4 linked regions of the Macaca mulatta genome follow. The protein of the gene in region 3 purifies or fractionates together with the protein of the main gene of each other region. This does not show direct contact. Links are inferred from orthologs where the notes say so. Each region holds a gene or a part of one and is shown on either strand. Other genes may lie near its edges. The genes, in order: RPP25, POP4, RPP40 and RPP30.

Region 1 (6,910 bases), on a different chromosome or scaffold from region 3:
ATCACCAAAAAAAAAAAAAAAAAAAAGAGCTCCTCATCCTCCTCCTGCAACAGGAGACAGAGGAGAGGGGCTGTACCAGGGATCCCCCTTCAGTGTGAACATGAGAGATTTGTCCACAGGAAGTAGGGTGTGCTGCTGGAAAGGTCCCAGGGAACCTTAACAGAGATGTATTGGCTAGGCTTGGGCTCTAGTCTAGCTACACCAACACCTCCTCCCAGGGTGAAAGGAGTCTAGTTTGCCACTCACCAGGTCACTGTGAGTGAAAACAGCTATTATTTCTGAGGCTTTCCCAATTTCTTTTCCTTTTCACCAGTTTTCTTTCCCCAATCCCTTTAAATTTTTTTAAAATTTATTTTAATCACAAATAATATATGAAAAATAGTAACAGCTAACATTCCCCAAGAACTTAGCAGCCAAGGTTCCAAGGTGGCTGTCTCATAATCACTCTGTGAGGTAGATTACTATAATTAGCCCCATTTTACAGATGACAAAGCCAAGGCAAATGGGTTAAGTAAATTGTCCCAGGTCACACAGAGGCAGAAAGAAGCTAATAGAAAATGAAGCTTCAGGGTCAGTAGCTCATTTATACAAGCTGCTACAAGACTCTGTATTTAACTTTGTATTCATATTTAATAGTTCTTTTCTTAAAGAAGGTAATGAAAACTTAATGCGGTAACAAGAGGTCAGTGTGCTGTTTTCTTGCAGATATTTTAAAAATACATTTACATCTATAAACACACACGGAAATAAATGCTCCCCTACTGTGTGTATGGCTGGCACCCAGCTCCTTTAACACAACATCTTGACTGATTCCACTTTTCTAACCATTGTGTGGTGTGCACCACTGATGCTCTACTTTATTTACCAGCCTTTCTGAAGTTGAGCCCTCTGCTCCCCTCCTCTGACTCTGGCCGCTCACTGGGGTTCCCACCCTCTTCACAGCTTTTTCTCCCTTCGCCATGTCCCCTACGCTGTTTCCCCCCTCATACAGCCCCTTTGCCTGTGTCCTCACTACTTCATGCCCCAATTCCTTCCTGCCTCCCGCGTTTCTCCTCTCTCCTGGCCACCCCGCCCAGTCCTTCACCGCCCACCCTGTTTCCCCCGCTCGCTGCCCGCTCTCTCCCACTCCAGCTTCCTCCGGGCCTGCTACATTACCCTAATTCACAGCACCCCATCCTTCCGCCCTCACTCCCCTCATCTCCCGCCCCCACCCTCCGCACCCCTCCGCGGCCAGGAGGGAGCGCACAGCCGGCGGGCTGCGACGCGCGCTGACAGTGTAATGAATGGCTTCAGCTGTAATTAGCGACCCCGCGGCTAATCACGATGTACATTTACATTTTAAGTGCTGCAGAGGGAGCGGGGGAAGAGGAGGGGACCGGCAGGAGGGGATGCGGGCCTTTTCGGCGTTCTCCCTTCACCGACTGTGGAGAGCAGTGAATGCGAGTGTTCTACAGCAGTTTAGGAGGGTGGGGGCGGTGGGGTCATAGAGGGCCAACCTGGCCGGACGCAGAACCGCCCTGTCCTCGCCCTACACAAACCCGAAGCTCCCAGGACTCTTCCTCCAAATGACAGAACTCCGCCTAATCCCTTCCAAGTGATCTTGCTGCCCAAGCTTGCATAGCCCCGGGGACGGAGAGCTCTCTTCTTCCACAACCAGCCCGTTCCAACGTTACTTCCAGCCTTTCGGGGACTTTTTCTCAGGGCCTGACCTTACACAGCCCTCGGCTCTCCACGCCCCGCTACGCGCTGCGGACAGTCTTTGTATCTTCCCAAGGCTGCTGTGCCTCTAGCCCCCACCGCTGTGTGGGGCCCACGGAGACTGGAGCGAGACCGAAGTCCTGGTTCGGAGCATACCCCGAGGGTTCCTGATTCCACCAGGAGACGGGGTCAGCCATTCACACACTGGGGTGCCAAGGTCCAGGCGCCGCAGCCACTCCCAAGAAGTGGTAAGGGGGTAAACCCCGGTTCTGAACAGCAGGGACTGAGAGCTGCTGCTGATGCCCAGGAGGTGAGAACAGCGGGAGGAGACAGAATATAGTCTGGCAGCCTCATCTCCAACTGAGGCCCAGCAATCCTAGGCACCGTCATGCCCCCAGCACTTTTCCGGTTGCCTGCCAGCCCCAGCTCTCTGTGTCCCTCCCCGCCACGCCCCGTCACAGTCCCCTGGCTGGGACCAGATCTGCCGACCTCCCTCAGTCCTGACTGCGTGGGGCCGGTGGAAGGAGGACAGGCGAGGCCCGAGGGCAGTTTTAGGGAGGGTAGGGCCCCTTCTCAGACCCCCTCCCTTCCATCAGTAGTCCTGACAGCCCCAATCTCATCTTTCTCTAATGCTTCTCTCACCCGGCAGGAGACCCCGGGCCTCTCCTTCGGTCCCGAGGAGTTTCCAAAGAGAGGCATCCAGTAGCTCTATAATGCCCCCAGGGCTTCAACTCCCCATCTTCCTCCCTTCTTTCTCTCTTTTATTTTTTTAAAGTCTTTCTTTTTCATTTTTGTGGGTACATAATAGGTGTCTATATTTAGAGGGTACATGAGATGTTTTGATACAGGCATGCAATGCATAATAATCACATCATGGAGAATGGGCTTTCCCTCCCTTCTCTTTCTTTTTTATTTAATTAATTAATTTTTTTTTTTTTTTGAGACATAGTTTTACTCTGTCACCCTGGGTGAAGTGCAGTGGCGTGATCTCGGCTCACTGCAGCCTTCAGCTCCCGGGTTCAAGCGCTTCTCCTGCCTCAGCTTCCTGAGCAGCTGGGATTACAGGCGCGCACCACCACACCCAGCTGATTTTTGTATGTTTAATGGAGACGGGTTTTCACCATGTTGGCCAGGCTGGTCTCGAACTCCTGACCTCAAGTAATCCGCCCGCCTCGGCCTCTCAAAGTGCTGAGATTACAGGTGTGAGACACCGAGCCCGGCCCCTCCCTTCTCTTTCTTAAAACCTGCGTTCACCCAGCCTCCGTTCGAAAAAAGACCCACTGGATCTCAAGGGGCCAAGGTTGCCTGATCGAATTTCGCCTGGGAGGAAAGGGGCGGCCACGTTGGCATGGCATCGTGCCTGGCTCACCCTAAAGCGCGCAGCCCTAAGGGTGGGCTCTCGGGCATAGGTGGAGCGAGCCTACCGCCTTTTCAGAAGAGGTCTCGCCCGCTTCCTCACGCGCCTCGGGGAACAGCTTGGCCCAAAGCCTCACTCCTCACGTCCCAGGGGTGGACGGGGGTCCGGGAGCCTCGAGCTCTAGACAGGCGTGGCGAGGCTGAAGCCTGGGTCTCCCGCGCCCCGCGAGGACCACGCCGCGACGTAGTCGCCCGAGGGGAGGCGCGGAGTGGAGCCGCAGCCAGCTCCTCCCGCACTCTGCTGACCGCGCACTAGCTGTCCTTGAGGCAAGAATACTTGGGAGCGGAAAAAAGGTGGGGGTGTTCCCCAGCGGGGAGAGGAGGGGCGAGGCCCCAGCAAGCCTCTCGGAAATTTCTCCCTGGGAGGGGACGAGGGGCGGCCTTCAACTGCAACGGGGAAGGGCTAGGATACCGGGTTTGAATTGGTGTTTGCACCGCAAGCGCAGCTTTTATTTAGGCTGCCGGTTTGTGAGGGTTGGCTCGGAGAGCGCTGATGGCGATTGTCGTGGAACTTCACCTTCACCTGCCCATGCGCCCCGCAGCGCGCCCGCTCCCACGCCCGCTCCCACGCCCGCGTAGCTGAGGACCCGGACTTGCCACGAAAGGCTGGTGAGGCTGGGGCCCGGGCGGGCCGGGCCGGGCCGGGCCGGGTCAGGGGAGGGGCCTGGCGGCAGGGGCGGGGCCTCAGCTAAAGGCGCGGAGCACCGGGCGCCGAGAGCGCGGAGTAGAGCGGCGCCCGCTCGAGAGAAGTGGGGCCGAGATCGCGCCGTCCCAACCCGCCCGCCGGCGTCCGAGCTGCTTCCGCGCCCTTACCCCTGCGGGCCCTTGCAGGGCGAGACCGGCGGCCATGCAGCCCCGGGGTTGAGGCCGCCCCATGGCAAAGCCGGCGGTCCCGGCGACGACGGCGCATGGAGAACTTCCGTAAGGTGCGCTCCGAAGAGGCGCCAGCGGGGGGCGGGGCCGAGGGGGGCGGCCCGGGCTCTGGCCCCTTCGCAGACCTGGCGCCGGGCGCGGTGCACATGCGGGTCAAGGAAGGCAGCAAGATCCGGAACCTGATGGCCTTCGCCACCGCCAGCATGGCGCAGCCAGCCACGCGCGCCATCGTCTTCAGCGGCTGCGGCCGGGCCACCACCAAAACCGTCACGTGCGCCGAGATCCTCAAGCGCCGCCTGGCGGGCCTGCACCAGGTCACGCGGCTGCGCTACCGGAGCGTGCGCGAGGTGTGGCAGAGCCTCCCGCCTGGGCCCACGCAGGGTCAGACGCCTGGCGAGCCGGTCGCTAGTCTCAGCGTACTTAAGAACGTGCCCAGCCTCGCCATCCTACTTTCCAAGGACGCGCTGGATCCGCGACAGCCCGGCTACCAGCCCCCGAACCCCGATCCTGGTCCGTCGTCCCCGCCAGCCGCGCCAACGTCCAAGAGGAGCCTAGGGGAACCCGCAGCTGGAGAAGGCTCCGCGAAGCGATCGCAACCCGAGCCAGGGGCTGCGGACGAGGATCGGACGGCCTAAAACTCCGGACTGTGGGCGGGATCTTCCGCCAGCGCCTCCACCCTCAAATGCACCTCCAGCCTTTCACTCCTCGGTCCTCCGGAACCCACAACCTGGACACAGCTCCTCAAGGCAGGTAGCATGGACCTTAAGGCGACAAGAGAGGGGCCCCAGAAGTGGCAGGAGAGGATCCCCGACGACCTTAGGGAAACTTCGTGCGATGATTGCTGCTTATGCCCGTGTTGCCTGAAGACACGGAACTTCACCTTCACCTTTTCTGGGACCTTCTTTGGGGGAGAATGGTGGACAGTGGGATTCTGGAAACTTGATTGGGACCCCCAAGGGTTAAAGCCACCCAGCATTCACGAAGGGCACCTGGAGTGCGGAAGCCGAGAAGAGTTATTGGAATCACCCCCACCGTTGACAGAGAAGGCAGGGGGTGAGACTTGACTGCTTGAGGGTAGGAGAGTCTGAGATGTGGGGGTCCTATTCCACTCCCCGCCCTGGGACAGTTTTCCTTTCTAGTTTTCCTTCCCCTGCTTCAGAGGAGCATCTCTGAGGGTTCTAGCTCTTTTAACACCCCTTTTCCCCCTGCTGGCCCAGAGGGAGACCCAGGACTGAACTCTCCAGGCCTCCTCCCCCAGCCCTGCAACTGGAGTCTTGCTTCCAATAAAACAAGCACAAAAATGGCTCTGTCCCCAAATTTTTTTCTAACCACCCGCCTGTGCAGAGACAGCTCTGGCCTGGCCCTTTGTGTCTCCCCTCCCCTCCAGCCTTGCGTCCTGATCCTTTGGAGTCTTCAGGGTCAGGCATAGAGACTGGACAGCTTCAAAATGGTGCAAGGCACTTCCCAGTCCCTGGCTTTTTCCTCTCTCCTCCCCCACTCTGCCCTCCCGGGCTGGCCCTGGCTTCAGGGGCTGTGGCCCATGGGGGGCCCATGCTCCCCTGTACATCACCACTAAGGGAAAGGGAGTGGCACATTGCTTTTCTGGGAGGGAAAGGAAGGAGTGGAAGGAGAGCATGGATGAACTCTCCTGGAGGTCACTGCAAAGGGTGGCAGACCCTGCTGAGGTCCCTGAACCTGCAGCCTCCAGACAATAAACTGAACCTTACCCAGAAGGCTGGCACAAAGCCCCCAGCTCCGTGAGTAGGATCTCCCCTTCGCTGCCCTCTCTCTGAGAAAGGACAGCACACCCTTGGGAAAAGGGGAGGAGAGAGACTGAGCGCAAATCCACTGCTGGAAATTACTATTCAGCAGAGAAGCTGGGACTTGGGCTGTGAATCACTGCAGGCCTCCTGATAAGCTGCTGCCTCCAGCCCTGCACAGCTGTCTGTTGAGAGATAACAGCCTCATAAGCTTCTCTGCCCAACTCTAAGCCAGCTGGGGGGTGGGGGTGGTGCTGTGTGCTGGAAGAGCTCTGGTGAGTTGGGGGTGGGATACAGCCCCAGGATCTCAGAAGTAGATCTCATCCCATGCAACTCAGCAGCACCCCTGGAAAGGGGGAGATGCGGAAGAATGTATTTATAAGTCATTTTGCTGGCAGAACCCTGAAATAAATCCTGCTGGTGACAAGAGATACGTTCTGTGGCTGACTGGAGGGGCTCTTTAGGGAGGTTTCCCTCTCCTGCAGTTATCTCTGCTTGAGCTTTGGATCAGTGAGCTTTGTCATCCAGACTTTTTCCCTCGTTGCTCTCCCCAAATTCCTGCTCTTGATGAGTCCCTGGAGAGGGCCAAGGGGTTTGGTTGTGCTTGTCTGACCCTCTCAGGGGTGGCCCAGGAAGCATGGAAAGAATGTAAACTGTCCTGACAAGATGCCCTAGCTTCTCCTGGACTTCAGCATCTAAAGGCAGTGATAAAACTTGGACAAGGTCCTGCATGGTAGAAGCTTAAGGGAGACTGGTCTTGGTTCTAAAAAGGGGCCAACTTTCCAAGACCACTAGTGACTGATTGCTGGGTTACCAGGACTATGAAAGCAGTGCCTGAGGCCGGGCGTGGTGGTTCATGCCTGTAATCCTGTAATCCCAGCACTTTGGGAGGCCAAGGCGGGTGAATCATGAGGTCAGGAGTTTGAGACCAACCTGGCCAACATGGTGAAACCCCATCTCTACTCTAAATACAAAAAATTAGCCAGGCGTGGTGGTGGACACCTAATCCCAGCTATTCAGGAGGCTAAGGCAGGAGAATCACTTGAACCGGGGGGTGGAGGTTGCAGTGAGCCGAGATGGCCCCACTGCACTCCAGCCTGGGCGACAGTGCAAGACTCCGTCTCGAAAAAAAAAAAGAAAGCAGGGCCTGCTAGTCTTGTTAC
Region 2 (7,652 bases), on a different chromosome or scaffold from region 3:
GGTAAAAGGCTATACACCAAATTCCCAGGACCAGAAAGTCCCAGAACACCCGCCAGAAACTGGTTTTCCCACATTAACTTTCAGATGGGCTCCTGGCCTTGTGCTCTGTGGGGAAACTCTTACACCACTTTCTGAGGTTTACAATGTGAAGCAGAAGGATATGTAGGAAAATAAGGGAAGCAACAAGAAAAACCAAGCTCAAAAATTAAAGGAAGAAGGCTGGATGCAGTGGCTCATGCCTAAAATCCCAGCACTTTAGGAGGCTGAGGCAGGCGGATCACTTGAATTCAGGAGTTTGAGACCAGCCTGTCCAACATAGTGAAACCCTGCCCCTACTAAAAATACAAAAATTAGCCGGGTGTGGTGGCGCGTGCCTGTAATCCCAGCTACTCGGGGGGCCGAGACAGGAGAATCCCTTGAATCCGGGAGCGGAGGCTGCAGTGAGTTGAGATTGTGACACTGTACTCCAGCCTGGGTGAAAGAGCGAGACTGTCTCAAAAAAAAAATAAATAAATAAATAAAGATAAAAAAATTAAAGGAACAAAACCCTCTAACTACAGTTTGTTATCTCTGGATTTGTGAGCAAGGTGGGGTGTAGAAATCCTGGGAGACCCAAAGTATCTGCTAGAGCAATGCTGGCCACCAATGGAACCCAAGTGTTATCACCAAGGACACGGCTCAGAATTTCAGGGACAGGCGCCGCTCCTGTTTCTACCCTGCTGCCTGTTTGGCTACATTCCTCTGGGAGCAGCAGCCTTGGGGCAGGTGGAGGCCCTCTCCTGGCACCCAAACAGACCCAGGTCCCCTGAGGCACGGCCAAGATCTTTCCTCCGCTTGGCCATTTCTGGCTGGGGCCGCTGGCTGCACTGACACACGCCTCTTGGGGGCGCCACGGGAGCAGACGGTGGTCTCTGCAGGCTTTAATGCAGGTTCAGTAAGTATCTGCAATCAGCGCTCAAACCAAACCCTTGGAGCCCCGAGGAAAAGGCTAACGCAACAGCTGGAAGCCACAGCCCACACGCAACGCGCTCGGAAACTCCTACATACCTTTCAGGCGGTCTTCTTTGGTGATAATTTTGAAAATGTGCTTTGTTTCCTGTAGAAGGATTCCTGTAATACCCACATAAGAGGGGCACTTGGATTTTGTCACTGTGAAGAAAAAGGACAGTTCCAGGCTCAGGCCTCTGTGGTGCTGGGGGAACCACAGACAAGCAGGCCTCAGGGGTCCGGGGTGCTGGTCCCACCCTCTGAGCTAGCAGACGAAGGAAGACAGCACCCAGGGCGTGGGGGCTCAACAGCTGGGCACTGACGTAGCCAACGAGAACCCAGGCTTCCCCTGGGGCTCTGCAGTCTCTGGACTGTCCTATGAGGTGTCCTTCGGAGAGTCTGTGGCCACAGCAGTCTTGGGCAGGATTCTGGAGTCAAAGGTCACACATGCGCCCAGCACCATCAGGACCCACGGGCTGGCTGCTCTGATGCAGCCAGGACTCCCTTGCAGGATCTGCACAAACACCACCATGCACTGCCCAGGATGCTGGCTGGAACGTGAGTCCTGCTGCAGAGCTGCCCAGCAGCCAGCACTGTGAGACGAGCCACCATCACAAGCAGCAGCCCCTCCCTCGTCCTGACCCAAGCCTCAGTGTAGGTGACAGAGTCACCAAGCAGCTGCAGTATGCCTGCACTGTCCTCGGGAGATGCCAGGGACATAGTATGGAAAGAGGCAGTCCCGGATCCTGCTCTCACGGAGCCCAGGTTCTAGCAAGGCAGGGTGATGCATGGTGAACCACACCATTCTACTTTCTGACAGCGACGAGTGCTATGAAGAGTAGGGACAGGGCAATGAGTGTGGAGGGTCATGGTTTGCAATGGTAGACCCTCAGGGGAGTGGCATTGGAGCAGGGCTGAACAATCGGAAGTCGGTCTGTGCACACACAGGAGAACTCCCTGGCAGAGGTAAGGAGCAGAGGCGAAGCCCTGAGGCAGGGCGGGAGGAAGGCAGTGTGGGAGGCCTGCTGCCCCAGGGAGCGGGGAGGCCTTAGACCACAGCAAGGAGGCAGGTTTACTCCCATACGATGGGACGCTGCCGGAAGACTTGAAGCACGGAAGGAACGTGCTCTGATTCCTATATAATCGGCACTCCGGCTCCCTGGTGCGGGGAGGAGCTGTGTCTGAGGTAATCTGGGGAATGACAGTGGCTGAATTTAGGTAGTAGGATGTTCTGAAGGATTAGAGGAGGGAATTAGGAAAGAAGAAACATAGACACTATTTCGGTTTTTGGCCTGAACAACCAGCATAAATAACTGAGTAATTAACTGAGATGGAAAAGAGCAGGAGGGGTTGCTGTGAGAACTGGGGGTAGCTTTGGCTATGTAAAGTCTGAGATGCCCCCTGAACATCCAGGTGGCTGTGTCAAGTGGGCAGCTGGATGCCTGAGCCTGGAGTTCAGGGGACGGGCCTACGCTGGAGACGTCACCTTGGGGACTGTCAGGTGTAGCTGACATTTGAAACCACAGCATTGGATGAAAGGGATTCTGTGTTCAAGATTCCAGGCCATGGGTGAGTGCCCACAGCTACTGTGCCCTTTAGGGTACCAACAGGGGTCCCTGTGTGTAGGTACACGGAGGGGAGGTACACGGAGGGGAAGGTACACGGAGACCACTTAGGGTGTGTCCAGCAAATGGCCAGACCGGCTAAGACAGCCAGTGAGAAGCATCTCCCACCCTTAGTGCGGGGATGATGGTGACTGGGGCCCATCTCAGGGAATCCACACGGTAAGGAGCGTGTCCAACAGAACACACGCCCTGGGTCTCCACAGAGCGACAGTGTGGACCTCCGGATGGCCATGTGCTACACGCTCTTAGGTAAATTACCTGAAATAATAGCCCCGTGAAGATCTGCCTTTAACAGTTTGGCCTGAATCATCTGTGGCTGCCTGCAAGGTAAACAGAAGCCCTTGATTTACACCATGATAAAAGGTTCCAAAAGAAGCAACTAGGTCTTCAACCGCAGCCAGGCTGGCTCCTGAAGCTGCATTTACAATGATCAGAGACTTGAGATCCACCCCAAAGAGCGAAGCTTCAGGAATGCAACTTACGTGTCTGGCTTTAGCCCATTGCACAGGTCCTTGATGTACTGTTTCCAGAGTTCATGGAGAGGGAGGAAAAGACTGTATCTGTGGCAGAGTCAGAAACGGAAAAAGTTAGACAACATGAGCTTGGGATGACAATGTCCAAATAGCACAGAGCTTGGCTCGATGCCAACAACTGTGGCCTGGGATCATTAGGAACTACGTGCAAATCCTAGGATGAGCAATTGAGCTGGTAACAGAGACCAAGAACCTTCACCTCTCTAACTTCAGTTTCCTCATTGGTGGGACCCCACCAGCCCAGAGCGGTGTCCACTTGGACTTCTTTTCATGAGAGAGAAATAAACGTGAGTCTTGTTGAAGCTACTGTTATTGTGAGGTTTTCTGTTACGTGAAATTGAACCTAGTAAGCCCCCAATAAAGCAGGGGTTGCTGGTTGTCACGCAGGTCCTCATGTGAGGCAGCAGGCTGGTCTGGAAGGTGGGCAAGCAAGTGGTGGGGAGAAGAAGAGGGGAGCAGGGGCGAGGACCCCAACAGCTTTCCTCTGGGCCGTTATCTCCAGTCTTCATGCCTTGTGGGGAATCCGTTACCATGAAGCCTTAGGTTAGAGAAATGAGGACCTTAAGCTCAAACCCAACTGGGGTTCCACCCGGGAAGCAAATCCTGGGAGGCAGCAGCCCCTTCTCCACCTGAGGCCCAGCTGATCTCCTGAGTGGGGCCGGGGACAGCGTGGCATACTTTAAGCGTCTTCTAGAATGTGGGAGGCTATTTGGCTGTCGATCTCCAAGCAAAAGCCTACAGACAGCCCTAGGACACACACACTCAGACCCGTCGCCAAGGAGGGATGGAGGGTTGGCTGGAGGAAGGCATCCTCCCACAGGACAGGACAGTGATGCATTCCTTTGGGAAACTTCTGAAACGTGTGGGCAACATCTTGCTTTGGCAATGAAACCCCAGTGGGTGACTGTCTGGCGCTATTAAAAGCTACAAAGTGATACACACTAAAAACATATCAGTTCCTCTTTTCTGTCTAACAAAGCCGAGGGACAAACAGCCTGTTGCCATGGGCAACAGATGTACTTGGACGGGTCTTACTCGTGAAGGTGACGAGGCAGGCCAGACAATGAGTCCTGTCTCACCCGCCTCGCTGAACACAGCCCAGATTGGTAAAGGAAGGCTGCCCTCTTGTGGCAGACAACAGAGAGGCGCCCTTAGCTTAGGTGGAGCCAGGCTGCCTCCCCAGCGACTCAGTCAAGTCCACACACCCAGAAGGGTAAGCACCGCGGGCAGAAAGAAGGGAGGAGCTCAGGTTACCTCTGCTGCTCTGGTTTAATATAAAAGAGCCGCAGCTCCCTCCTTTGCCTGGCAGAGAGGCCTTTGGCTTTCTTCTTCTTCTTCTCCTTGCGCTTGTGGCGGGTGAAGTACTCCAGGACCACGGCCTTGCGCTGCAGCTGGTCCTCGCGGGCCTGCGGGCTCATGCCGGGTGTGCTGCGCTTCAGGAAGGCCCTCACGAAGGCCTCGGCCCGCTGTGCTCCTGGAGGCTGCAGGCGGACAAGGGGGTGCAGCGCTCACTGCTCTGGTCTGGGCAGCCCAGGATCCCAGGCATCCCGCCCGCAGCTACTGGGAGAGCAGATGGGGCCCATCCCTCCACCCACTGAGGCTCACACCCCGCTCATCTGCCATGTGTCTGCTACCCACAGTTGCCGAGATGTAAGTCACACTCATACACAAATTCATGACCGTTTGTCACACACAACAGCATGTCAAACGCTCACTTCCTGCTCTGGCCCTGCTTTTCTGAGGTTATTCTGCTGAGGACTAAAACCTTTCTATCTGGAAGAATACTTCAGTCACTCTTGGCAGAAGAGAAAGCTTGAGAAATGTGTAACAAAGATATTCAACCAGGCATGACCAGATGAAACTAAGTGAGCTCAGAGTAGCACTAAGCTATGGAGGAACTGATTCTAACACTACAGAAAACAGCAAAACTAGGGCTCCAGGGTCAGCCAAGCCTCAGGGGGTAGGGACCCTGACACTGTGCCCTTAGGACAATACTCCTTAACTGGGCTTCCAGCAATGTGGGCATGGTGTGGGCTACTCTCCAAGAGGTCCGCTCCTGCCCCGCAGACCATCACTTGGAGGAAAGTACCGTCAAGAGCATCTCAGGCCCCAGACTCTCTCTCTCTCCAAAGGGCGTCACTGAGAGCCGGGCGTCAACTTACCATGAATGAGCGTAGGCTCTTAGAGAGGACTTCTGAAAAAATGACTGTCATAATTGTGTGCAATTCTCAAACAAACAGACAAAAACCTCCAAGCTCACTACCTCTCAAGTTGGAGTTCCAATAATGGATTCCTCATTTGGTGGCAGATGCCACTGCCCTGGCGCCTGCCACAGCCCTGGGCAGTTCTCTCTCCTGAGGGCCTGTCTCCTGGCTGGGCTGTTTCCTGAGCTTTTTACACTAGCCAGGTGCCAAATGCTAAGACTGAGGCTGACAGACTGATGCTGATCTGTCATTAGTAACCCAGCCCTCCCTCTGTGGGAGAGCAATGGGAAGATAGGGTACACATAGTCTTCGAGGGAGCTCACAGTATGATGGTGGGAACTCTGTTCAGTTTTGCACCTGTAGATGCTAACTAAAAATTAATTCACTCTAATCATTGTGACTATAATAGGACAATAATCTGATTCTCTTAAATACCTGAGTGGCTCGTCTTTCATGGAGAAGCAAAATAAAGGCATACTGGTCTTTCAAAATCTTGCTTTCAAGGTAATGCTCTCACTATGAGCTACAAGAGGAACTTTTGTGAAACTGACAAAGCAGGCTGAGGCATCCAGATATAATCTGTAAATTTCACTTATGATATGTAATTGCACACCTTCTGCAGAAGTGCAGAGGGCACAGTGACAAGGTTGAATGATGCTGCTCACCACATGGGCACAGCCTGGTGTCCCCAACATAGTGGAAATGATAAAAGGTTAAGAAAAGCCTCATTTTACCAAACGTGACTTTGGCACAACAGAAAAGGAGGCCGGCAAGTGGGAACAGGTCATCAGAACTACAGACTTTGATCCAGCCTTAGATGTCTGCCAGAAAAATGAGGAGTACAATGTGGGTATCGACATCTCAACCAGTGACAGGGGCTCAGAAGCTACTGAGCCATCTTTGCCATCACCTGTGTTGCTCCTGGACCTCCTGCCAAGAACTGACCTGGACATCAGAGTCTTTCGCCTCTTTCTGAGACAATGCATGATAGATCACACCTAGAGGATTAAAAACAAGAAATGATCAATTCTTGTTGGGTATGGCTGTAAGACCCAAGACTTCTCTAACTATGAAAATAATTACACCGCTGGATGCATGGCTCACACCTGTAGTCCTAGCACTTTGGGAGGCCAAGGCGGGTGGATCACCCAAGGTCAGGAGTTCGAGACCAGCTTGGCCAACGTGGTGAAACCCCGTCTCTACTAAAAATACAAAAATTAGCCGGAGGTGGTGGCTCACACCTGTATTCCCAGCTACATGGGAGACTGAGGCAAAAGAATCGCTGGAACCTGGGAGGTGGAGGCTGCAATGAGCCGAGATCGTGCCATTGCACTCTAGCCTGGGTGACAGAGACTCTGTCTCCAAAAAAAAAAAGTAAAAGAACTACACTTATAACATATGCTTATTCATATTCAGAGATAGGAGATCAGGTTGGTAAGAAGAGCAAGCTTTCTTGGATGCCTCTTATCCCACCCTCTGGCCACATCTATGCTAGAAGTTTCAAGCTCATGGTTTAAAAAGAGTGCTTCTCAAAATTTAACGTGTGGAAAAATCTCTGGGATCTTATTAAAATGCAGATTATTGGTCTCCTACCCTAGATCCTGAGTGTCTAACATATTCCCAGATGCTACTGCAGGTCAGGGGATCACATTTTGAGTTGCACTGGTTTAAAGTATCCCAAGTTAGAAGCCCGAGCCCTTGCTAACGAGGTAACTCATTTAAAAGTTATATGATATAGCTGTCTAGGATGTAGATGGTTAGAAATAGGTTTTGTTAACTGTAAGATGTTTAAAAAGATTCTTCACATTTTAATATGAAATTATAATGTATCATATAATCAAGGGTGTCCTGAACTGATGAAATACAACAGTTCTTCCTTTAAACTCAAAATATACATCAGTCAATAAAGTTTCAACCTCTAAAACAAATTCCACACTTCTGTTTCTTAATTTATTGAAAGAAGAAAACCATGGCACTGGAGACACAGTACAGGTGTGAATGGAGTAAGAATGGGACTACTAAGGCCTGGTTTATGAGCTAAATAGCTAGAAAATGTAATTTACACTATACTCTGTAAATTTAATTCCAGCTCTCTTGTACTTCCCTGAGAATGTCTGATGCAAGGTGGTTACAAGTTTTTTTTCGTTCTTGTTTGTTTTGATATTGGGTCTTTCTCTGTTGCCCAGGCTGGAGTGCAGTGGCACAATCATAGCTCACTGCAACTTCGACCTCCTGGTTTCAAGTGATCCTCCCACCTCAGTCTCCTGAGTAGCTGGGACCACAGGTGTGTGCCACCACACCTG
Region 3 (8,452 bases):
GCACTATGAACAACCGTATGCCAACAAACTGGACAACCTAGATAAAATGGGCAAATTCCTAGAGACACAAAATATTGAATTGCAAAGAAACACAAAATCTGAATAGATCCATAATTAAGGGGACTGAATGGGTAATCAAAAACCTCCTGACCAAAAACAAACAGCCCTGAACCTGTTGGCTTCACTGGTGAATTCTACCAAACCTTTAATGGAGGACACCCATCGTCTTCAAACTCTTTTTAAAAATTGAAGAGAACACTTCCAAACCCAAGTGATGAGGCCAGCCAGCATCATGCTGACACAAAAATCCTAACTCAATATCTGAGAATAACAGCAGAAGTTTTTTTAAAAGTGGAATACATTCACTTATGGTGTCATCAGACGGATATTAAAATTCCAAGGTATCTATTCATGTTCTCTCAGGTGACCACCCAGATATTTGTATTTTTGCCTCAGTTTGGTAAATGGCATGGTTTTTAGTTTTTATAATACAATTTTTTTTTCCCAGCAAAGTCCTTCCCCAACAATGATGCTCACCAAGGCCATGACACCTGCCACACTCTTCTGCACATAAAATGCCCTCAATACCCATGGAACTGGGTTGAACCAGGAACAAAACAAGCAGCAGAGGTTGGTTTGTAAAAAGACAGTAAGTAGGTACCACAGATAAGACTGAAAGCCGAGGCTGGGCGCGGTGGCTCAAGCCTGTAATCCCAGCACTTTGGGAGGCCGAGACGGGCGGATCACGAGGTCAGGAGATGGAGACCATCCTGGCTAACACGGTGAAACCCCATCTCTACTAAAAAATACAAAAAAAAAAAAACTAGCCGGGCGAGGTGGCGGGTGCCTGTAGTCCCAGCTACTCGGGAGGCTGAGGCAGGAGAATGGCGTGAACCCGGGAGGCGGAGCTTGCAGTGAGCTGAGATCCGGCCACTGCACTACAGCCTGGGCGACAGAGTGAGACTCCGTCTCAAAAAAAAAAAAAAAAAGACTGAAAGCCTACAATTCAGCAGTGAACATTTTACATTTATTTGAGAAATTATTTGCAACTAGTTCATCAAAAGATGCTGGTTTAAAGCAGTGGCTTTTCAGCCTTGACCACACAATATAACCACATAGAGAGCTTTAAACAACACCGTTGCCTGGGTCCCACTCCAGGGAATCCAACTTAATAGGTCTGTTGTAACTTGGGTTTTGGGAATTTTAAAAGCTCCCCAGGTGATTTTAATGTGCAGCCATGGATGTGGACCACTGGTTCAGAGTGAGGGATGCATTAGCTGTGTGTGATTTCCATGTGTGCCCCATGGCAGTTCCTCAGTTTGGGGTCTTGGAAACAGCTTTGCCCTGTGAAAATCAAAGGACTGCTTCAATACACAGTCAGCTGTTTGTCTAAATTGCAGCAGGTGGAAATGTCTTCTCAGCAGATCTATCTTTATGTTGCTTGCTTTTCAGAGTAAGAGGTTGTTTCAGGCACCGTTTGATTTAGCTTGCTTTGAAAATCATAAATAGCCTACAAATACTAAAAATGGACGAAAAGAATTTGCAAACATATGGAGTGCACTATATGTGTTTTCAAATTTCCCCTATAATTAGAAATAAAAAATATGAGCCTTGATTTCTAAACTCAGCCCTCAGCTGTTTCCCTAAGTTATTTTAAGTTCTTCCAAGACAGTTCAGCTTTCTCTGGAGGGAATTATACCCAATGGGTATAAGTGAAGAGCCCTAGATGGGCATTTACAGAAGTGTCACTCTCCAGAATCTTGAAGGAATAGGGGAGATGTATGAGTACTGTGGTCTATAGAGGTGTCTGGGCTTTGGAGTCAAGTATAGTAGATACTACTGAGTTACAACCTAGTCAGTAACTTCAAGGTTTTGAATTTGATTTGGAACAATTAGGTAAACCTCATCTGCAAGAAAAGGCATAATGATACTGATTGAAAAAATAAGAACAATTCTTCATACTTCCCTATCTATGACCTTTGCAATGAGATTTTATAGCTGCTCCCATAAACAGACAGAATTTGTTTCCCCAAGTCTTGTATCTGGGCTGGCCTTATTTACTCTGGCCAGCAGAATGCAGAGAGTATGACAGTGTGCTAGTTTCAGGGTTAGGCTCAAAAGATCTTGAATGCTTCTGCTTTTTCTTTCAGAATGCTTTCATCTCCATGAGAACAAGCCCATGTTAGCCTGCTGGAGGAAGGGATACCATAAGCAGGAGAACCAAGGTACCCCAGTTGACAGCCAGCTCACCCCCAGAAGCAGAGCAAAACACACACACACTACACACACCACACACATGGAGCTGAGCTGAGACCAGAGGAATGGCCTAGCTGAGCCCAGCCTAAATTGCTAACCAGCTCAATTATAAGCTAATTAAGTTTTGGGATGGTTTGTTATGCAGCAATAGCTAACTCATACACACACCCATTGCAGATGGGACTCAATGACATGTTGATTACAAGTTACTGGTAAACAGCAGGCCGCCTCTACATTCTGATTTCCTTTTCCCCCTATTAAAGTTGGATCTCTTGGGTTGTACAGAAATGCATATAGATATGTGTGTATGTGACTGGTGCTTCAACTCACACATTTCCCCACTCCAAAGAGGAAACAGACAATCATAGCCTGGCACTCAGGCCCCAAGGCCAAACTGCAAAATAAGAAATTTGCTTTCCCAGATGCAGTGGCTCGTGCCTCTAATCCCAGCACTTTTGGAGGCTGAGGTGGATGATCACTTGAGTCCAGGAGTTCAAGACCAGCCTGGGAAACATAGAGAGACCCAATCTCTACAAAAAATACAAAAATTAGCTGGGTGTGGTGGCACACACCTGTAGTCCCAGATACTCAGGAGGCTAAGGTGGGAAGATCACTTGAACCTGGGAAGCAGAGGTCGCAGTGAACTGAGACTGCACTCCATCCTGAGCTATAGAGTGAGACCCCATCTCCAAAACAGTAACAACAGTGACAGTTTGTTTTTAGTCTATTCCTCCCATATCTAAGGTCTGCAGGTCAAAGCTGTGAATAGATCAGAAGGCATGAGATTTCCCTCTCCTGGGACCCCATCGTCCTTTGATCACTTCCATTTTTCACATATTCTCTTCTTCCGATGTGATTAGGGAATGAGGCCAAGATTAAATTTGAAGCTCTCAGAGACCACAAGCTTTTTCTTTCCAAGGTTTACCAGCACTTTAGTTTCTAACATCGCAAATACTAACTGCAACCCAGTGTGGTGACTCACACCTGTAATCCCAGCACTCTGGGAGGCCAAAGTGGGTGGACTGCCTTCTCTAGTTTGAGAAGCATGTAGTAACATACTTGATTTTGCCCTGAATCAGTAACGTACCGCATGCTGGGAGCCGCAGTCTCTTAACCGCACCAAGCCCGTGACAGAAAAACTAAATGGAAAAATGACTTAGGAGAATTATCACTATAACCCCCAGAAACACCACATCGTTAAAAGCGGTTCTGAAGGCTACTGAAAAGGGAAATCAATAGTAGTTTCAAAGGAGTCCTATTGTAAGGCAAAAATTGTGCTTTACCGTCCCGCACAAACCTCCCTGATGTTTTGGGAAGGGCGGAGGCAAACCTTTAGTCCTGTTGGCCTGTGTTAATAATGGCCAAGAGGTCCCCAGTGGGTAACAGAGTCCTGTGAAGCAAACAGCGTGAGAAGTCAGAAAAGCAGCTGGGTGTGGACCCCCAAAGCACCTTAGGGGGTTACTTAACTGTGCGGCTACATTTCTTGACCACACACTAAAGGAACTGGGCCTTTCCATGCGATGTTTTCCTTTCATATGGGTGGCAGGAAGCGGTCCCTCTGAAGGACCTGACCGAGGTATGTGCCGGCGCCAGGCCGGGGTCCCAGGGGCGCTCCGAGGCGGGGCCCATAGAGGGTTTAGGGCAATTCCGAGGGATGGCGAGGACGGAGGAAAGGTGGCGTTGAAAAGGCAAGAGCCAGGTTCCCAGCGACTGGATATTTCCACTTGAGGCAGTGAATTTACATTTTCAGACATCCACCAGGGAGCTGCCTGCTGCGTGGGGTGTAAGAACGTCTCAGCCGCCCGGCGCCTCCAGCCCTACTCCACCGCCACCAGGGGCGCACAGCGGCGGGTACGCGGCCGGAGGGAAGGGGCGGGGCGGGGCGGGGAAGGGGCGGGGCCTGCCCTGCCAGCGAAGGCCGGGAGGACCAGGAACCCAGGAGCGCATGGCCACGCTGCGCCGGCTTCGGGAGGCGCCGCGGCACTTACTGGTTTGCGAGAAATCCAACTTCGGCAACCACAAGTCGCGCCACCGGCATCTTGTGCAGACGCACTACTATAACTACAGGGTGAGTCCGGTTGTCCTCGGCTTTTCGGGCCGTGCTCAATCGCTGCGTGCGAGAGAGGTTTAGGGAGAGTGCTAGGCTTCGCGGGGCGGGGCCGCCGGCGGTGCGCGGAGGGGCGGGGGCCCTCGCCTGGCTTGCTGGAAGTTGTAGTCTCTTAACTACTGTAGGCCAGTGGTCTGCAGGGCTGCAGGACTACAACTCCCAGGATAGGTAGGGCGTGGGGGCGGCACCCAGTGTGGAGGGAGCTGTGTCCAGGGCGTTCTGGCTGCTCACTCGGGTCAACCCGCCTAACTGGGAGGGGGTCCAGGGAGGGATTCGAGGTTTAGGGCCGGGACCGGAGAGTTACGACGGTGTGACGGCTGCGATGTGTAGCTGCCGGGCAGCCACGTGCACCTCTCTTTTTCCCGAAATCAGGGCGGGTCTCCCGCCTCGTCCCCACCACCGCCTCTCTCCCCAGCTTGGATCTCTCTCCCACCTGCACCACCTGCGTACCTGTGGATTTCTCCGCAGCATTCTGCCTAGGCTCGGCCCAGGAAGCTACCTGATTTTCTAAATTGGTTGTGGGAACTAATGTGATATCTAGAAACTTCAAGAAACCAACCTTATAATGGGGGATTAAACATTTTACACTTTAAATGGTTCAGCTTAATAACTCAGGTTTGACTGAGCAGTGTCTCAGAGATTTAAGTGGTGACCTGATCAGTCAGGACAGGCTAGTGTTTGAGCCTTGGGACAGTGATGACTTTTACAGTGTGGCAACATTTGAAGCCTGTCCTGTTTTTAACACCTATTATGGATGGAAAGCTCATCACAGCAGCCAGGGATGTATACCTTAACTCGCCTGTTGCACTTTTCTCTCTCGAAATTGGAAACATACAGGAGCGCCATTGCTTGCACACAGCTTCTTAGTAATTGGATATCCATAAATTAATTCCTTATGCCCCGGCAGACAGTTCATTTCCTTCCAGGATAACACCAGGGTAAACAAATCAAGGGATATTCAATTATACTGTATTTCCTTGAAAATGGTGAAAGGAATAGGACATAAAATATACAGTATTGCTAATTTGCAAAAGATAAAATGCAAGCAAGAGTTTTCCATTAAAAGTATTCTATTCAGTCCCCTTCCTGTGCTGTACGTTTGAATGCAGAAATGAAAAACTTGAGTAGTCAGATTTCTCTTTGCCTGAGATAGGTAAGTTAACGTGAGAGTTTTGTTGCCTGTGTTTTTATATTCCGGTGAAACTCGTGGAGAAATAACAACTTTCATGATCTTATTTCATTCCTAAAAACCTGGGTGTTCATCTTCATGGAAGTAAGACCTTGTTTGTATTACACATTCCAATAGGTTTCATTTCTCATTCCTGAATGTGGGATACTATCGGAAGAACTGAAAAATCTGGTCATGCAAACTGGACCCTATTACTTTGTGAAGAATTTACCTCTTCATGAATTAATTACACCCGAATTCATCAGTACCTTTATAAAGAAAGGTAAGAAAAACCTGAAATGGCTTTAAACAAGGCAAGATGAGGAAGTGTAGGTAGACCACATCACAATGCTGGGGCTGTTATTTTGTTTTGAACAGGGCCTGTGGGATAGTCTGTGTGGTCAGGTGCACACATGCACTACCCCCCGCCCCCTGTTCTCATCCTGTTCTTTCTTGTGCCCTCTTTAGGTGGTGGTTTCTGATTGCAATTGCCCACAAGTGTTGGATGGGGACGTTGTAACATGAGGGTATCCGTCCCCTTAAAATGAGGATTGATGGAGAGGACAGACTTGCAGTCTGTGTTCAGATGCACTGCTTTCGAGGAAGTGGCTGCGAAGACCCTGTGCTGTGAGCAGCCCCACAGCAGCTGCCTCAGAGGGTTGGTCTCCAGATGCAGCCACAGCTACTGTTCACAGAGCAGAGTGCTCGTTGGGGTCCAGTGTCCTCTGCTTAGATTTTGTAGCCATAACCCCTCTCTGCGCACCCCATTTCCACCCACATCTGCTGGGTTGGACTGGTTTGTTTCAGTTGTTTCCTGGGAGCCGTTTGTTTGAAACTATTTCAAAGGGTATTTAGGGATTCCACCCACATACGTGAGTCACCTGTACAGTGGCCACATGCTTATCTTGTGCTAGCCCCCACATGTGTCCTCTCCAGTGAAGATACGAAGAATTCTAGTTACCAGTAGCTCCTCTCATTCTGACACTGCTGGGGCTACTTACGAGCTGGGCGTCTTGTCAGGTCTCATCACCATTATTCCTTTCATCTATTTTGAGGTCTGACACCACTCTGTCAATTACATGGACACTAGCTGTAGCAGGCACTGTTCAATATCTTACCAAATTTAACCCTTGCAACAATGTTATGAAGCAGGCCTATGATCCTCATTTAACAGGTGAGGAAACTGAGGCTTGGAGAGGTTGAGTAGCTTTTGAATCTTAACCCGGAACTCTGCCTCTAAGATGTGTATGTTTATCTACAATTCTACTTTGTACCCCTCTCCATGCATCCCCAAAGGTCACATTCCATTCTGAGTCAATTTTTTGCTTGATGATAGTACACTTGCACAAATAGGCCCTTGGTCGGGGAGTGAACTAGCTGGAGCTTGGTCTTCTGCATGCTCCAGCTTACCTTTGGCAGATGTTTGGTTTATTGAATGAACTGGAGCAGTGGTAGAAACTGACCTTTAATTACCTGGAAGACAGGTTATCTTGTGAAAATAATCCACTAACATCTTGCAGGTGTAATTTATTCTTTTAAATTTTTCCTCTGGACTTTCTCTTACAGGTTCTTGCTATGCACTAACATGCAATACAAATATTGATGAAGATAATACAGTTGCCCTGCTACCAAATGGTAACGCTTATTTTTTCATCTTTCTTTAATTGTTAAAAAAAAAAATGCCTACTGTAAAAAAAAAAAAAAAAAAAGCCAGGCACGGTGGCTCACGCCTATAATCCCTGCACTTTGGGATGCCAAAGCAGATGGATCACCTGAGGTCAGGAGTTCAAGACCTGCTTGGCCAACATGGTGAAACCCTGCCTCTACTAAAAATACAAAAATTAGCCAGCGTAGTGGCGCATGCCTGTAGTCCCAGCTTGGGAGGCTGAGGCAGGATAATCACTTGAACCCAGGAGGCGGAGGGTGCAGTGAGCCAAGATCGTGCCACTGCACTCCAGCCTGGGTGACAGAGTGAGACTCTGTCTAAAAAAAAAAGAAGAAGATATTCAAAAGAATGAGTATACCATGACTTATTTATTTCATCTTTAGTAGAAATTCAGATTATTTCTAATTTCATTATTATGAATAATATCCTTGGATGTATAATGTATAAATAATATCTGTGTTATAAGACATGTATACATATAAATATTCTTGTCATATAAATAAGATCCTTGTATGCAGTTTGGTACATCAATATCTAACTGCTCAATTTGCTTTGCTTTCTTTTAATCAGACAGCATAAGTTCTATTTTTGGTATCTCTTACGCAAGTTATTATTTGATTTGTAGGGAAATTAATTTTGTCACTGGATAAAGACACTTATGAAGAAACTGGACTTCAGGGTCATCCATCTCAGTTTTCTGGTAGAAAAATTATGAAATTTAGTAAGTATCATGTGTGCTCCATCTGTTTCTAAGAAGTCTGTAATCTTCTTGTGGTAATTTAAATTTAAATGTTTGAATTGCCTCTAATCTCTTTGTTCAGAAAAATGTGGCTTTTTAAAAAAATCTACCAAACTTCTGACTTAAGCTTCATAGAGGATAGGATGATGCTTTTAAGTTCATTTCTTTTCAGCTGTAGATGCGTTTGATAAAGATCGTAGACTTGGACTGGTCAATTAAATATATATGTTTTGGGTTAAACATTCAAAGTAATTTGGGAAGCCTAGGCAGGCGGATCATGAGGGCAAGAGATTGAGACCATCCTGGCCAACATGGAGAAACCCTGTCTCTGCTAAAAATACAAAAATTAGCCGGGCGTCGTGGCAGGCGCCTGTACTCCCAGCTACTCGGGAGGCTGAGGCAGGAGAATCGCTTGAACCCAGGAGGAGGAGGTTGCAGTGAGCCAAGATCACAATCAGTGCACTTCAGCCTGGTGACAGAGTGAGACTCCATCTCAAAAAAAAAAAAAAATTCGAA
Region 4 (8,287 bases), on a different chromosome or scaffold from region 3:
ATAAGACTGCACATCTACAACCATCTGATCTTCGAGAAACCTAACAAAAGCAAGCAATAGGGAAAGGATTCCCTATTTAATGAATAGTGCTGGGAAAACTGGCTAGCCATATGCAGAAAATTGAAACTGGATCCCTTCCTTACACCTCACACAAAAATTAACTTGCTTGTTTGTTTGTTTATTAAAATTAACTCATTTGGATTAAAGACTTAAATGTAAAAAGCAAAACTATAAAAACCCTAGAAGAAAATCTAGGCAATACCATTCAGGACATAGACACAGGCAAAGATTTCATGATGAAAACGTCAAAAGCAATTGCAACAAAAGCAAACATTGACAAATGGGATCTAATTAAACTAAAGAGTTTATGCACAGCAAAAGAAACTATTATCAGAGTGAACAGGCAACCTACAGAATGGGAGAAAATTTTTGCAGTCTATTCATCTGACAAAGGTCTGATACCCAGAATCCACAAGGAACTTAAACAAATTTATTAGAAAAAACCCCATTAAAAAGTGAGCAAAGGACATGAACAGACACTTCTCAATAGAAGACATTCATGCAGCCAACAAATGTATGGAAAAAAGTTCAACATCATGGATCATTAGAGAAATGCAAATCAAAACCACAGTGAGATACCATCTCATGACAGTCAGAATGGTAATTACTAAAAAGTCAGGAAACAACAGAGGCTGGTGAGGCTGAGGAGAAATAGGAAGGCTTTTACACTGTTGGTGGAGTGTAAATTAGTTCAACCATTGTGGAAGACAATGTGGCGATTCCTCAAAGACCTAGAAGCAGAAATACCATTTGACCCAGCAATCCCATTACTGGATATAAACCCAAAGGAATATAAATCATTCTGTTATAAAGATACATGCACACAAATGTTCATTGCAGCACTCTTCACAATAGCAAAGCCTGAAATCAACCCAAATGCCCATCAATGATAAACTGGATAAATAAAATGTGGTACATATACACCACAGGATACTATGCAGCCATAAAATGTAATGAGATCATGTTCTTTGCAGGGACATGGATGGAGCTGCAAGCTATTATCCTCAGCAAACTAACACAGGAACAGAAAACTAAATACTGTGTGTTCTCACTTGTAAGTGGGAGCTAAGCAATGATAACACATGGACCAGGGAGGGAAACAACACACACTGGGACCTGTTGGGGTTGCAGGGGGAGGAAGAGCATCAGGATAAATAGCTAATGCATGCTGGGCTTAATACCTAAGTGATGGGTTGATAAGACTTTAATAGGCATTTCTCAAAAGAAGTCATACAAATGGCCAACAGGTATATGAAAAAATCAAAAAATCATCAGCCTCACTAATCATAAAGGAAATGCAAATCAAAACCACAATGAGATACCACCTCACTCCAGTTACAATGACTATTATCAAAACAATAAATGAAAATACGTGGTGGTGAGGATGTAGAGAAAAAGGAACACTTACTGTTGGTGGAAATGTAAACTAGTATAGCCATTATGAAAAACAGTAGATGTTCCTAAAAAAATTAAAAATAGAACTCTCATATAACCTGAAAGTTGCACTACTGGGTGTATAATCCAAAGAGAGTGAAATCAGTATGTCAAAGAGATATCTGCACTCCATGTTTACTGCAACGCTATTCACAATAGCCAATATTTGGAATCAACCTCCATGTCTGACAACGAACGAATGGATAAAGAAAATGTAGTATACACATAATGACATACTATTAAGCCATTTAAAAAGTATGAAATCCTGTCATTTGGGATAACATGGATGATACTATCTTCAGTGAAATAAGCTAGACACAGAAGGACAAATACTGTGTAATCCCACTCGTATGTGAAATCTGAAAAAAAATTAATTTGATAGAAGTCTAGAAAGTAAATAGTAGAACAATGGTTAACAGACTAGGGAGGGATTGGGGGAGGGAGGATGGGGAGAGGTTGCTCAACAGGTACAAAGGTAGATAGGACGAATAAGTTCTGATGTTGTATTGCACAGAAGGTGACAATGGTTAACAGTAAGGTATTGTTTATATATCACAAAACAGCTAGAAGAGAGTTTTTTTAATGTTATCACCAAAAATACATGAGGTGATGACTATGCTAATTACCTTGATTTGTTCATTATACAACATATACATATATCAGAACATGAAATTGTACCCTATAAATACGTATAATTACAATGTATCAACTAAAAATGAAAAAATAATTGAACTATCACCTTATTCACCTTCACCACACATTGGTCATATTTCTGACCAATCTAGATTGTTATGGTCATAGGTGAAGATGCCTGTGTGACCCTGCAAAATTAACATTCGACATTCTCATGAAAAACAAAGGGTTTGTTTCATATGACCTTATTCTATTTGCAGAAGTAATACTCTCTTCTACTCCTACTTAGGAAATATCAAGTACTGGAAAAGGCAAAATATCTCTTCTTTACAAAAGTTAACCAAGAGGAGAATTGCATGCTACTGCATGGAGCAGATCCCTCCTGCCTTCTGAGAACGACAAGAAAATCGCATAAAGGAGTACTAATTAAGGTGTGGTCCATAGACGAGAGACTGTCTGTGAACTGTCTGTGATCAATAAATAGAGAAATTGATGGGTGGGGCACGGGAGTGGGCGCGTGTGAATCACAGCTAGGAGAGAGGACTGCTTGCGTTAGAGTCCATCCTGGTCAATAACGAGGTGCTCTCTCTAAAAACAAAACAAAACAACGAAACGAAAACTCAGCAGGCCACCAACCGGGACACTCCCCAGGTCAAATGACCGAGCCTCTAATTCTGTGATTGTTGTTGCTGTGCTCACGTTATTAAAACAAACAAACAGAAAGTGAAGATGTTTAGAACGTTTACAGTACTTTGGCATTGTCCTGATATCCGAGCTCCTGATCAGCAGACTCTATTCAGCCAGGTATAGGGCAGTTCGAGTGCTGTCAAATTTGTGATTCCCATGAGGCCAGGCTGCTTACCGGTGATGCATAAAGGACCACATCCTGGTTCGTGAAGAATTTGGAGGTAGGGGAGAAGGAGGGAGAAACTGGTCCTTTATCACAGGTGGTTTGAGAGCACTGATGTAAACTATCGTCACACTTTTGTAGTATAATTTGCTATTAATCCTCAATAGATCATTTACACTAAGTCGGAAAAAAGTGGAAACATCAGATATGTGGGATATGCGTCACCTTGTACATTTCTCAGCTGGAAAAGTGTAAAACATCTCAATTTTGCACCTCCCTTTTCAAACGTGTCTTTGGCTAAATCAATGTTGGCTGTAACCGCTCGTCCTCGAGCGAGCCCTGCCATCTTGTGGTTGAAGGTGTTGACTGCAACAGAGATTAGCGGTCTTTGACATCAACAGTTCTGATTGGGTAAAAGTACCCTCGTCTTGGGGTAGTTCTCTTTTGATGTCCTAGAGTCAGTCATACACAAATGCCTTCTTCCCGGAAAGTCCATTGTAAACAACGGAATGGACTTTAGGGAAAGGAAAGGAAAACGTGTTCTTTAGGACTCTTTAAATAGCATTCACCTATTAGAAGAATTCTCTGATTCATGAGCAGCGCTACATAGATACCGTGGGCGTGAATGTTGAACGAATTCATTTCTACACTATTTTATAGGAGTACTGAATAGTGGGGAATTGGAACCCCTCCAGGGGGAACCGAACATTGTCATTCAGAAGAAGACAAAGAGGGACTGAAATGAAGCTGTTGATTTCAACACACAAATTCTGGTGGTAGTTGAAGGCAAAGTAAGTTTCTCCGAATCCCTAGTCAACTGGAGGTAGAGACGGACTGCGCAGGTTAACTACAGCTCCCAGCATGCCTGAGGGGCGGGCTCAGCGGCTGCGCAGACTGGCGCGCGCGGGTGGTCATGGGACTTCAGCATGGCGGTGTTTGCAGACTTGGACGTGCGAGCGGGTTCTGACCTGAAGGCTCTGCGCGGACTTGTGGAGACAGCGGCTCACCGTGAGTTGCCCCGGCTTCGCGGGCCGCAGCGCCTGCCCAACCTCATGCCACCCTGACCATCGGGACCCTCTTGGGAGGAACTGTTTCCTGATGAGTCTCTGTCAGGTCTTCCAGAGTCTCTGGGATGTCCCTGGAATGTCCCTGGAGGCTGATGCCCGCCGAGGTGTAGGTCTGATTCCTGGCGCGGAAAACTGAACAAGGTTGTTACCTTGTTCAGCTCCTTTCCTGCAATGAGGGAACGGAGACACCCAACGAGGGCGAGGGATTCGCGTAGGGACCTACAGCTGATAGATGACTGAAACCGGAGCTGGACTCCAAGTGTACAATCTTCTAAGCTTCTAAGTTACTATCAGCCCTTCCTAACTCTCACGACAGTATCTAAACAAATGCTGGAATTTGGGGCACGGACAGGAAGCGCCGTGGAGGCTCAGAGAAGGAGGAGGATGCGGGAGTGTTGGAACAATATTATCCAGACAGAGAGAGGGTAGGTGGGGACATACACGGTGGAGTGGAGGTGGAGGAGGACAGCATGGCCCGAATCGAAGGGAAGCGAAAGCCTTGAGAGACTAGAACCTGTTTTAACTATTGGAGTTAGTCGTGGGTTCTGTATTCCTTAGACTACTGTAAAGTGTGGGGATAGAGATATTAAAAAGAATCAAGAGGTTCGTGCAGTAACATCTGCTCCTCAGAGACAGTTTTCAGCTCATTGTGAGTTCTGATTACTGATACTGTTCAGAGGTGGTGCTAGAAATGACAACCACTTCTTGGCAAAATGAATCACACCATTTTTTAAATTGTCCTCTTTATGAAGTACCCTTGGCGAAATGACTTTGCCTTTCCACTGCTGCCACTAAATGAATGTTATCTCTGTGGTACTTTGCTCATCAGCACGAAGAGGAAAGTAGACAAGATGATCTGGGCCATTTAGCGCTAATGTTCTTTGCTCCTGTAAAATAAATTTTCCTGGGTGTAGCTCGTCGCAATTATTACCTCCTCAATAGGCTTTTCCTGATGCCATCCCATTTTTAAATAAATCATGAGCTTCTTAAGAGAATTGCCATGTCTTATCCTTTTATTTACTGTGCTTAACATATTCACTTTGCAAGCACTAATGCATGGCAGTTACTCAGTTAATGCTTGTGGAATAAACTGAACACATTAAAAAAAATACAAAAAAGAAAAGTTATAATGATTTCTTTAGAGAATTTCCCACAGTTTAAAATACACTTGAAAGAGATGTGGTAATTATGTACATTGTTAGTGGTTATTTTTTTATAAATTAAATGGAATTCATGGCATATGACAAAGTTGCCTCAACTTACAAGTCAGACAAAGGACTGCTATTTGATGAGTCTGGAAATAAATAGTGGACATTTTCAAAGAATAGGGAAGACAGAGCCCTGGTTCTTAGTTTCTGATGTGATATAAGAAACCAATAATAAGCTTCAGAAATACACTGCGTAAATTAAAATACCTTAAAGCCTGATTAGGGAAGTAAGTACTCCTAAGCTGCCAGATGAGGAGTAGTCTAGGAAAAAGTTTTGTGGAGAAACAGATCCTAGTTGACATTTCTGTAGAATGGTAGGGACATTGTTTAGTAGCCAAAAGGATATCCCAAATGGGTATAACAAGGAAGTTTAGAGCAGATTTGGGAGTGTGGTAAAGAAGAATAGGGAGAAGGTGTGACTGGTTGATTTGACTAACTGGGTGCAAGGTGAAGCCCAAGGTACAGGCATACATGTGATTTTTTTGTTTTTAAGGGTGACTTTCTCCAGGGAGGCTTTGTGACCCCTACACCAGGTTTCATTGTGCTATATACTTCCATAGAAAACTTACTTATAAAAAAATGTATTTATATACAATGACTCGCTTAATTGCCTTATTTGCCTTAGTTCTCCAACAGACTGGGCTGTAAATTTCTTGTGGAGAAGGATTGTATTATTTATCCTGTATGCTCAACACCAGTTTAGGGCTTGTCAAGTAATGGATGCTCAGTAAATACTTGAGGGAGGAAGGGAAGAAGGAAGTTGGACAAACTGTTGAGAGTTTGGCATTGATATGTATTTTAATATTAATATCCTTTCATCCCCATTGGTATTTTTAAAAATTAAAGATGAGAATCATGATTTTTAGATTTTTTTTTGGTAGCCCAAAGGTCCAGAACAGTGCTAACTGATGAGGGTAATAAAGCAAGCCCTTGACCTCAAGGAGCTCCCAGTCTGTCGATGGTGTGCAGCTTCAAACGGGAAGTGGGCGGCAGTGGTGTGAGGGAGTTATCACTCCATTTCTCTCTAGGAAAGGAGTCTCTGAAGGAAGTAAAAGGACAAAAAGCAAAAGAATGAGAATAAAAGTGACAGTGATAAAGTAGGAACTTCATGGGATGAAAATGAATACAGGGACATGAAAGAGAATGACAGTTGAAAAGGAGAAGCACAAAGTTAAGAGTCTTTAGTATCATTTTAATAATAATTCATAATGGTTAAACAAAGACCTATGTGCCAGGCACTGTTCTCAAACACCTCGTGTGTATTATTTAAATTTCATGAGAGGTGTATGAAGTAAGTGTTGTTATTTTCACTATTTGACATATGAAGAACCTGAAACTTCACATTAAGTAACTTATAAGTGGTAGTGCGTAGACTTTAAATCAGGCAGACTGACACTAGAGTTCACATTCATAACCACTCCTTAAATGGCCTCCTACTCTTGACATCTAGACTTAGGATGGACCTGTGTTACAGGAAGGAGAGGTTGTTATATTTAACAAAAGTGTTCAATTTTTCTTTTTCAGTTGGCTATTCAGTTGTTGCTATCAATCATATCGTTGACTTTAAGGAAAAGAAACAGGTAAAGTAATATTTCTGAAGTTAATAAGTTCATAAATAGGTATTTTTAATTCTGTTTATATTGGTAATTTGGAAGCTACAGATTAGAATATTTCTTAAGTGCACTCCTTTGTGCACTATTCCTTTTCTATTTTTATATGTTAACAGTTGAACTGATGCATATTTATATAAACAATGAAGATTTTTGTGAGATACTATGATATAGTGTTCAGGATTCCTAAAGTTGATTTGAAATTAAGTTACTTTCACTGTTCAAAAAGTGCATTGTTATTGGCTGGACTGTACTCAAAATATTTAGTCCTTTTTATTTTATTGTCGTGGACTTATTAACTAATTTCTCTCTTAAACATTACTAGTAAGTATGTATATTTCTCTTCAGGCCAACAACTGTATCCTGTAGATTATTTCAGTCTAAAAATTAGTTTTCATTCTTCCTATTCACTGATGTTTACAGTTGCTTCTCTGTTTAGCTTTCTTTTTAAAAATAATTTTAAAAAGTCTTTTTGAATACCAGAAATCACCTTGCTTTCTTTTAAAAATAAATGCGTATTTTTTTTCTGAGAACCCCTCCTAATTTTTCCATTATGCCTTGTGCTATTGATGTATTCAATCTGCGGTAACTATTTATCATTTGTTGTAGGAAATTGAAAAACCAATAGCTGTTTCTGAACTCTTCACAACTTTACCGATTGTACAGGTAGGTGTTTTGTTGCTTAAGAAACATAGTATCTATTTATTCAGTTAAAAGTTACCTAATTATGTGTGTATTCTCTAACTTGAGCTGCACCTTACTCTGAGTACCAGTCTTACATTTTCCTCAAGGCTCAGCTCTTCAGGAAACATTCTTTTACTATCAGTTCAATACTGCTTTGATGATCTTCTTTCCTGAAGTCCTACAACTTTAAAATTATCTCGTTATGTAGTTTAAGATACATACATCCCTTTCTGTGTCTGTATTGTAAATTCATAGAGAACAAGGACTGGGTTTTACTGATCTTCACTATCCCTTATAGCCAGTACCTTTTAATGAGTACTTTCCACTGGTAAACAGGAAAATCAATCGTTGTCTTTTGTGCTTTTTGACATCATGTTTTTTTTTAAATAGGGAAAATCAAGACCAATTAAAATTTTAACTAGATTGACAATTATTGTCTCGGATCCATCTCACTGCAATGTTTTGGTAAGTTAATTAATTTTCTTCTCTCCTTTTGGCCTTGTAAGTTGTATTGATTAATGTTGAACAATGTTGCACTTTGTCTTCCCCCTTTTACATTTTCCCTCGCCCCCCCTAAACCATGACACCTGCCTGCTCTCCTTGTCCTCAGAATTCACACAGTGTAATATGTCTGTTCTATTTACTCATGGCACATATGTAGTGATACCACAATTAAAGAATCCCTTGGCAACTGTTATTCTGAACTCATGTGCACCAGACTTGAGGTGGGTGCTGGGGGGT

Evidence for each region.
Region 1: the proteins of RPP40 (region 3) and RPP25 purify together in Homo sapiens (affinity purification with mass spectrometry; 3 studies listed by BioGRID and IntAct, counting the BioPlex papers as one, with this or other methods). This does not show direct contact. The link is inferred for Macaca mulatta from reciprocal best matches to the Homo sapiens genes RPP40 and RPP25.
Region 2: the proteins of RPP40 (region 3) and POP4 purify together in Homo sapiens (affinity purification with mass spectrometry; 3 studies listed by BioGRID and IntAct, counting the BioPlex papers as one, with this or other methods). This does not show direct contact. The link is inferred for Macaca mulatta from reciprocal best matches to the Homo sapiens genes RPP40 and POP4.
Region 4: the proteins of RPP40 (region 3) and RPP30 purify together in Homo sapiens (affinity purification with mass spectrometry; 3 studies listed by BioGRID and IntAct, counting the BioPlex papers as one, with this or other methods). This does not show direct contact. The link is inferred for Macaca mulatta from reciprocal best matches to the Homo sapiens genes RPP40 and RPP30.

The regions. Positions count from the first base shown.
Region 1 is NC_133412.1:52,906,255-52,913,164, reverse strand, and holds RPP25 (ribonuclease P protein subunit p25), read left to right. Parts: upstream 1-3,952; 5' UTR 3,953-4,022; coding exon 4,023-4,622; 3' UTR 4,623-4,817; downstream 4,818-6,910. UniProt on the Homo sapiens protein: Component of ribonuclease P, a ribonucleoprotein complex that generates mature tRNA molecules by cleaving their 5'-ends. Also a component of the MRP ribonuclease complex, which cleaves pre-rRNA sequences.
Region 2 is NC_133424.1:40,882,071-40,889,722, reverse strand, and holds part of POP4 (ribonuclease P protein subunit p29), read right to left. Parts: intron 6,348-7,652; coding exon 6,295-6,347; exon of another isoform or gene 6,260-6,294; intron 4,627-6,259; coding exon 4,400-4,626; intron 3,173-4,399; coding exon 3,095-3,172; intron 2,933-3,094; coding exon 2,871-2,932; intron 1,150-2,870; coding exon 1,048-1,149; intron 1-1,047. UniProt on the Homo sapiens protein: Component of ribonuclease P, a ribonucleoprotein complex that generates mature tRNA molecules by cleaving their 5'-ends.
Region 3 is NC_133409.1:178,222,257-178,230,708, forward strand, and holds the start of RPP40 (ribonuclease P protein subunit p40), read left to right. Parts: upstream 1-4,170; 5' UTR 4,171-4,201; coding exon 4,202-4,324; exon of another isoform or gene 4,325-4,394; intron 4,395-5,669; coding exon 5,670-5,814; intron 5,815-7,097; coding exon 7,098-7,166; intron 7,167-7,822; coding exon 7,823-7,918; intron 7,919-8,452. UniProt on the Homo sapiens protein: Component of ribonuclease P, a ribonucleoprotein complex that generates mature tRNA molecules by cleaving their 5'-ends. Also a component of the MRP ribonuclease complex, which cleaves pre-rRNA sequences.
Region 4 is NC_133414.1:102,894,163-102,902,449, forward strand, and holds the start of RPP30 (ribonuclease P protein subunit p30), read left to right. Parts: upstream 1-3,890; 5' UTR 3,891-3,903; coding exon 3,904-3,985; intron 3,986-6,776; coding exon 6,777-6,832; intron 6,833-7,471; coding exon 7,472-7,528; intron 7,529-7,936; coding exon 7,937-8,011; intron 8,012-8,287. UniProt on the Homo sapiens protein: Component of ribonuclease P, a ribonucleoprotein complex that generates mature tRNA molecules by cleaving their 5'-ends. Also a component of the MRP ribonuclease complex, which cleaves pre-rRNA sequences.